Sus scrofa: one gene and its partner. The protein of the gene in region 2 interacts with the protein of the main gene of each other region in a pairwise test. Links are inferred from orthologs where the notes say so. Each region holds a gene or a part of one and is shown on either strand. Other genes may lie near its edges. The genes, in order: APEH and LGALS8.

What was found.
Region 1: the proteins of LGALS8 (region 2) and APEH interact in binary tests that used the Homo sapiens proteins (3 or more experiments, as listed by UniProt). The two-hybrid records come from large-scale screens. The link is inferred for Sus scrofa from reciprocal best matches to the Homo sapiens genes LGALS8 and APEH.

What each region holds. Positions count from the first base shown.
Region 1 is NC_010455.5:32,204,376-32,208,281, forward strand, and holds the start of APEH (acylamino-acid-releasing enzyme), read left to right. Parts: upstream 1-1,487; 5' UTR 1,488-1,500; coding exon of another isoform or gene 1,501-1,512; intron 1,513-1,587; coding exon of another isoform or gene 1,588-1,720; intron 1,721-2,205; coding exon of another isoform or gene 2,206-2,332; intron 2,333-2,699; coding exon of another isoform or gene 2,700-2,730; coding exon 2,731-2,793; intron 2,794-2,892; coding exon 2,893-2,968; intron 2,969-3,057; coding exon 3,058-3,221; intron 3,222-3,387; coding exon 3,388-3,525; intron 3,526-3,619; coding exon 3,620-3,711; intron 3,712-3,793; coding exon 3,794-3,834; intron 3,835-3,906. UniProt on the Homo sapiens protein: This enzyme catalyzes the hydrolysis of the N-terminal peptide bond of an N-acetylated peptide to generate an N-acetylated amino acid and a peptide with a free N-terminus. It preferentially cleaves off Ac-Ala, Ac-Met and Ac-Ser.
Region 2 is NC_010456.5:54,871,472-54,875,277, reverse strand, and holds part of LGALS8 (galectin-8), read left to right. Parts: intron 1-587; coding exon 588-753; intron 754-3,443; coding exon 3,444-3,578; coding exon of another isoform or gene 3,579-3,593; exon of another isoform or gene 3,594-3,806.

The DNA of each region.
Region 1 (3,906 bases), on a different chromosome or scaffold from region 2:
TCCAGTGCCTGGGCTCCAGAGGGCTGCACCGTGAATTTACAGCCAGTCTACTGCACATGTTCTCAAGGACAGGCACCGTGTTCCCAGTTTTCCTGTTATAAACAACAACTGTAATGAACATCCTAATTTCCAACTTTCCACCCAGGTTGGTGGCTGGGGCAACTCTATCTGCTCCCAGTTCTGGCCTTAACAGTCCTGCACACACTGGATGCTCACAAATGCAGGTGGCCCCAGAAAGTGGAAACTGTTTTTACTTAACTAGCCCGACGTGGTTGATGGGGAAGGGGAAGCTGCAGGCCAATCTCAGTCAAAAGCAAAGCAGGGCGCAGGGAGCCAGGCCCCTGAGGTGTGGAAGACCATCCAGGTGCAAGGTATATGGAAGAGGGGACATCGCTGCTGGCCTGACAGCTGGCCAGCCTCTCCTGCCCTCTTGAGCCATCATAAGCCCAGCCCAGTACTGCTGTCCTGAGGGAACCTGCCTGTCCAGGTTTTTCTTTCCACAGGAAGTGCTCTGGTTCTGGGTGGAGCCTGACCCCACCAGGCCCTTTGCACTCAAGAGCTTGGCCTGAGGCCTGGGAAGGCAGACAGAGGCCCACCAGTTCATGATCCCCAGCAAAGTGCCACTGAGCGGGTGGGTGAGGGCTGCAGGAGCAGATAGCTTAAGAGGTAGGCGCGGTGGCTGATAAAACCAGGCAACACCCTGCGAATTTGGCACCCGCCTTTCGTTGCCCAACACCCTAGAACTCTGCGAGCTATGTCAGGAGCGCACCTCTGTCCTTTCTCATTGGCCTGGGAGCCCCTCCAGAGCAGGGCCTGGCACCTCCTGGTGAATGTCTGCCTTCTAATGGACCAGGAGGACCCAACAGTCAGTTCCTGGCTGCGGGAGATCCCTGCTGGAGATAGCTTCGATCTGGCTTCAGCTCAGGCCCCATTCCTCACCTCTCCTTTTCTGGACTTCACCCGGGCTAGGCTCAGCCCCGCCCGGCCGCACCGCCTCTCTGCAGAGCCTTCGGTCCTCCGCCGCCCTCTCAGTCCCCGCCCCCCGAATGCTTAGGGCTCACCCCCGTCAGGCCTCACCCCCCACCTCCCTTGGGCCCTGTCTTTCCTCACAGACCTCGCCCCTCCCCAAAGATATGCGCCTTTATTCCGTTTCCACAGCACCATCCCCTCTCCTCACCAAGTAACTGGCCGGGGCTTGGCCCACACAGCCCGCCTCTCACCAGCCTGGCCTGCCGGGAAAGGACCGCTCCTTTCCCCAAGGTTCCCGCCCCTCCCATCCAGGACTCCTGCAGCCGCGGTTCCCACTTCTGCCCCACAGGCCCCACCTCCTTACCATCTAGGCCCCGCCCCTCGGGTAACGGTTCCGGCCCATTCGTAGAAGGTTCCGCCCCTCTCAAGGCAAGGTCCGGGTGGCAGGGCTGGGCCGCTGCGGGCTCCGCCCCCTGAGCTCACTTCCGGGCGCCAGCACTGACTGCCTAGCCCCGGCGCCCCAGAGCAACCATGGAGCGGCAGGTGAGGGATCGGCCCGCGGTTCCTGTGGTCTTTGCAACCCGGGCTGTGCCTGACCCTGCTGTGTCCCCTGCGCAGGTGCTGCTGAGCGAGCCCGAAGAGGCGGCGGCGCTGTACCGGGGCCTTAGCCGCCAGCCCGCGCTGAGCGCCGCCTGCCTGGGCCCAGAGGTCACCACGCAGTACGGGGGTCGCTACCGGACTGTGCACACTGGTGTGTGTATGGCGGGGAATCGGTGGCGGGCCTATTCCGGGGCCGTGCACTCGGGTGGAGAGGAGGGGGATGTGCAGGGCTCGCTGCCTGACAGTGCTCACGAGTTTGTGGAAGACCGGGCTTGGAGGGTGTGGGTGTGGAAGGGTGCATCCCCCAGCCGTGCACACAGGTGTATAGGGGGTGTTCTGGAATGTTGCCCATGAGTGCAGAGTGTGGGTCTTGTAGGGGTCACCCACCCCCATCATCCCATACTGTACCCCCCCTCAAGGTCCTAGGGCGGATGCCAGGAGCGGTAGTGGTTTCTCTCCAAGATGTCAGCTCAGGCTCCGGTGACCTAAACTTGAGTTGTAGCCAAGTGTTGCCCATCCTGCCCCCAGAATATCTGGAGTCAGATTGGGGAGGTGGGCTGGACCTTCCTCTGGGCGGGGTAGGGGAGCCTGTGCTGGGACTGGCCAAATTGAGCAGTCTCATGCCTCTCCTCGCAGAGTGGACCCAGAGGGACCTGGAACGCATGGAGAACATCCGATTCTGCCGCCAGTACCTGGTGTTCCATGATGGGGACTCAGTGGTGTTTGCAGGGCCTGCAGGCAACAGTGTGGAGACCCGGGGGGAGTAAGTTTGAGGAAGGAAGCTTGTGGGCAAGGCCACAGCCATCTGCAAGCCTTTTATGAATACCCACCGTGTGCCTTGGTGTGGGGAGGGCCCAGAAAGGAAGCCAGGAGCTTGTTTTTTGCCACTAGGAGCTCTAGAGACATGGTCATAAGCACTGGAGACTTGCTTCTGACGGGCCAGGACCGGAGCCCCTGCTCCAGGGAGGGGAGGCAAGGCATCTGCCATGGTAGGACTAGAAGGGCTGCAGGGACGCATGTGGGCCACAGCCTCAAGAATCTTGTCTAAGAGGTTACAGCCAGTAAGGGGATAGGATGGGCTATCACTGGGTGGGAGGTAGTCCTGATGCGTTATCCTGTGTCCTCCTCAGGCTGCTGAGCAGAGAGTCTCCTTCAGGCACCATGAAAGCCGTGCTGCGCAAGGCTGGAGGCACGGGCACTGCGGAGGAGAAGCAGTTTTTGGAGGTAAGTCTGTGTGGGACCGGGTGGTAGGCAGCTGGGGGCTCAGATCCACAGATAAAGCTCTGCTGGAGGACAGACAACCTGACTCCCAGCTGTCCTCAGGTCTGGGAGAAGAACCGGAAGCTCAAGAGCTTCAACCTGTCAGCGCTGGAGAAACATGGGCCGGTTTATGAGGACGGTGAGGCAGCTGGCTGGTGAGCAGGCAGGGTAGACAGGAGGGGCAGCCATAGCCCAGGGCTCCCCCTGATCTGCCTTTCTTGCACCCAGACTGCTTTGGCTGCTTGTCCTGGTCGCACTCGGAGACACACTTATTATATGTGGCAGAGAAGAAGCGCCCCAAGGCTGAGTCGTTCTTTCAGACCAAAGCCCTGGACGTCACTGGCAGCGATGATGAGATGGCCAGGACAAAGAAGCCAGACCAGGCCATTAAGGTGCTCATGGTCATGGCCAGTCCATGAAGGTTCTTCAGGGCAGCCCTGGGGCCCAGTATGTTCTCCACCTACACTGTGCCTATCAGAACTGGGGAGGCACTGTCTCGTAGGGGACAGGGCAGGCTCGTGCGAGACAGGCTAGGCCCTGAGTGTCTTGTGTTCTCAGGGGGATCAGTTTTTGTTTTACGAAGATTGGGGAGAAAACATGGTTTCCAAAAGTACTCCTGTGCTCTGCGTGCTGGATATTGAGAGCGGCAACATCTCTGTGCTTGAGGGGGTTCCTGAGAGTGTGTCCCCTGGACAGGTCAGTGGCGACTCAGCCTACGTCATTCCTGGAGTCTGAGGGTCCTGCCTGAGTTACTCCCCTGGTTTACCCCTGCCCCCGGTCTTGTTTACAGGCATTCTGGGCCCCTGGAGACACAGGTGTGGTGTTCGTGGGCTGGTGGCATGAGCCCTTCCGGCTGGGCATTCGCTTCTGTACCAATCGAAGGTGAGGACAATGGAAGGGGCAGGGCAGGGGGCTTTGCAGCTCAGACTGTCCATGAAGCTGAGTGTCTCTCTGGTGGTTCCAGGTCAGCCCTGTACTATGTAGACCTCACTGGGGGGAAGTGTGGTAAGTGGCACCTACCTCTGCTTTCCTCTGAGACACACTGGCCTTGGCAGCCTGCATGGTACTCACGTTTCT
Region 2 (3,806 bases):
AGTGCTGAAGCCAGAGCAAGGCTGTACGACGAGGAGATGGCAGAACCTGGACTTCCGTGGCCAGACAGGAGGGTGATATTTTCATCCACGAGGCCCATCCAGCGCTTTGTAGGATTGCAGGGCCGCCTGTGAGAGCAGAGAACTTTATCAGGGCTCCTCTTGAAATGAACTTAAACGTTTCTGCTTCTGCAACTTTTTCCAGAGAGGTTCAAGCTTCTGAAAGCTTGAAATGAGAGCTATTTCCTAGCAAGTAGCCTTTGAAGAACAAATGTAAATGCTAGGGGTGCCTGCTTGAAAGGACCCTGCTCCTGTGGCAGACCCTAGCCTTTGGTTCACTTCTTAACCCTTTCAAGTTCTCACCCAGATCTGTAGCCTTAAACATGGATTTAAAGTTTTGCATGTTTTTAGTTTGCAAATAATATGTCAGTGGTATGCTGACTCAGACTCCTACGTGTTGCCTTCCTCAGCATTCCTGGATCCCTGTGTACATGTCTTGTGTAGTCAGTTTCATTCTGATTAAGAATGCAGAAACCCCACTCCTCCCTTCTACTTGGCTAATTGATTTTTTTTTTAATTCTCTCAAAAAGCTTTAATGTTGACCTGCTATCAGGAAAATCCAAGGATATTGCTCTTCACTTGAACCCACGCTTGAATGTTAAAGCATTTGTAAGAAATTCTTTTCTTCAGGAGTCCTGGGGAGAAGAAGAGAGAAATATTACCTGTTTCCCATTTAGTCCTGGGATGTACTTTGAGGTAAGCTGTTCTTCTTTGAAAATGGGACAGGAAAATGAATCGTCAGGGCAGGGGTAGGGTAGGTGAGTCCTTTAAATCAGGTCCAACTTAGTATGCGGAGACTGCGGGTGGTTTTTGTTCATTTGGAGATGGTATTTTGAATGCCCTCTTTCATCAGCATTAAATGGCCGAGCCAGTAGAGAGTCACATTTATTTACATGGGAATTATTTGTTTTTCATAACATTTTTGTGTAGCCCCCATATTAGTTACTAAGAATTTTCACAGGGACTGTGTCTCAGGACTGGAGTAACATGTTTAATCCTAAGTGAACATGAGGACGCAGGAACCACAGGCTGTCCACACTGCCTGCCACCTCCCATCTCGGTGACACAGCTTAGGAGGCAGTACTTTTGTCCAGGTGGTCCTGTTTGTATACATTCAAAGAAAGATACATTTAGACCACTGGAACTTGAAGGCATGTAGTTCTGAGCCTCCACATCTGTGAACATTATGATAACACAGCATTTCCCCAAGGAGGGCATTTCTGGGCTGTGGTCAGTCTCCTTGATGTGTGGCTGCTGGGTGGTTGGCTAGGTGCCCTCACGAGCTTAGGTGACTCCCTGTCTCCCATGGTCATTTAGGGTGGTTGAGGTAGGTCATGCTTTACATTTTAAAACTGTCACATGCTCCGGACCATTTGAGTTCTCAAGAACTCAGCTGTTCAAAGCATGAACAGCAGGGTGGAATGGCAGATGGCGATGTGATGCTGGCATTTACTCCTGAGTTCCAGTGCGGTGCAGCCCTGGTCCGTGCAGTGACAGACGGCTCTGTGCCTTGGAAGCTGTGAGTTTGGATTCAGGAGGATGTGGAAGGTTGATGGCAGAGTTGCATTCACTGGACTGAGGAGATTTCTGGGACAGGTCACTGGAGGTGGGGAGGGCAGGCAGCACAGTGGCCCACTGACGGAGCAGGGGTCAGGTTGTGGAGGGTGACCTGCGGTCACGGGAGGCAGAGGAGTGGATGCCCCAGAAGGAAGTTGATCCTTTGGTCAGTGACAAAAAAAACCAGTAACTTGTTTTTTGACCTGAGCCCCAAGTTTGGAATTACTGTATTAAAAGAGGACAGGAATAAATTCTAGAATCATCTTTCCCTTTTGTTAGTTTCCTATTTCAACAACAGTAATTATACTCACGCTGGATCATTGTCATTTTTTTGTAGTGATGTATTATTTTTCCAAGTAGCTTCAAACTCCTGCCTTTTTAATAGGCTTTCATTGAGATTCTCAGATCTTTTTACTTTGATTTTACAGTATCGTCTGTTCCTTGGCATTTCAGCCACTTATTAGTTCTAGCTGTAATCATTTAAAATCTTTCAGTTTTGTAATTTCACCTGTGAGCTTTTTATCATGTTCATGTTGGCATGAGCTGTGCAGATGATGGTGAGGGACTAAGTTCCACGTCCCCTTCGGTCAGGGGTCTCTCAGTCTACCAGGCCAGCGCCTTCACGTTTCTGTTTGTCAGGCGCTGGCTCCGCACTTGCTCTGCTGAGTGTGGATAACTGACTCTTTGCCACTGTGTCCACCTAATGCCAGCTTGTCTTCCCTTCAGAGCATGAGGCTGTGTCCAGTGTCCATCACCAAAGGTCCCTCCCAGCTGGCTGAAGCTGGGATGATTCCCACCGCTGTGGTGGGCCTATCACCCTGTGATGGATTCTCTCCCAGTTCTCCATGTAGCCCTAGAGCCTTTAACTTGTGTCAGCTGTCACTGTTATCCATGGAATGTCCTCCTCTTCCTGAGCCCTCCCCAGCGGCCAGCCCCACCAGTCCTGTCAAAAGAGAAGAGACACTTGCTTTGCTACTTCACAGATTCAGATTTTGTGCCTCAGCCTGGCCTCTGGGGAGGGGGCCAGGTTGGAGGAGGCAGTGCTCCCCCGACCCCACTCCGTGGAAGCCACAGTGGAGGTGGGGAGCAGTCATGCCCACCCACTGGCCTTTCCACTGAGGGTGGAAACAGGTGGCACCTTGGTGGCCAGACTGGAAGTTTGAGGTTTAGGTGTACGAGTGATGGAAGAGGAAGCGGTTTCTTCTGTGAACTGACATCAGTGATGAACCTCGGCCAGCAGGCTAGCAGGCTAGCTGCCCATGGATTTTTACAGCGCTGGGCTTTGAAGAGCTTTTGAGAAAGAGACAAGATGTGCTGAGCCGGGTGGGAGGCCGTGGTACAGTCCCTGGCAGATGCCTGCAAGTTTGGAAGCTTCGTATTGTCTGAGCGCCCGAGGCCCTAGAGTTTGAGGCCACAAAGTCTGGACCCAGGTCCCCTGGTTCTCAGCCTTTCAGTGGGAACGAGCTCCCCTGTGAATGAGAATCACGATGCTGGCCACTTTCTCATCTATGGAGTTCCCAAATGTCGCTGAGGGGGGCAACTCTCTACTTTCCCAGGAGCAGGGGGCAGGAGAGGGTGCAGAAAGGTCAGCAGGCCCTGGGGACAGTGTGAGGTTCCATGCCTGTAAGAGTCACTTCCCTGAGTGGGACAAGGCAGCAATTAACCAGATACACTTTGGGTCAGGTTAGGGTCTGAGAGCTCTCGGCAGGGAAGTTTGCAGGATTAGGCTGTGAGTCAAGCAAATGGTCTTACCCCTCTATTTGTGTGCAGGAAACAAAAACCTTGAAACCCAGGGCAAACACTAATGTGTGTATTATGCTTCCTTGCAGATGATAATTTATTGTGATGTTAGAGAGTTCAAGGTTGCAATAAATGGTGTACATAGCCTGGAGTACAAACACAGATTCAGAGAGCTCAGTAATATTGACACGCTGGAGATCGATGGCGACATCCACTTACTGGAAGTAAGAAACTGGTAGCTGGCACGACTGCTGCTAAAACTGAAATACAGAATGACTTCGTAACACTGGCCTTGTTACAGTGCATCTCACTACCACCACACGGCTTCTGTATATTGTTAGAACAAGCTTGCAAAATCATAACCGAGTCCTCCCGGTATCCTCAGTCCTCACCATGCAGTGTGGCTCTGTCTAGTGCAGAATGAGGAAATGGGAAGCAACAGCTTACAGTCA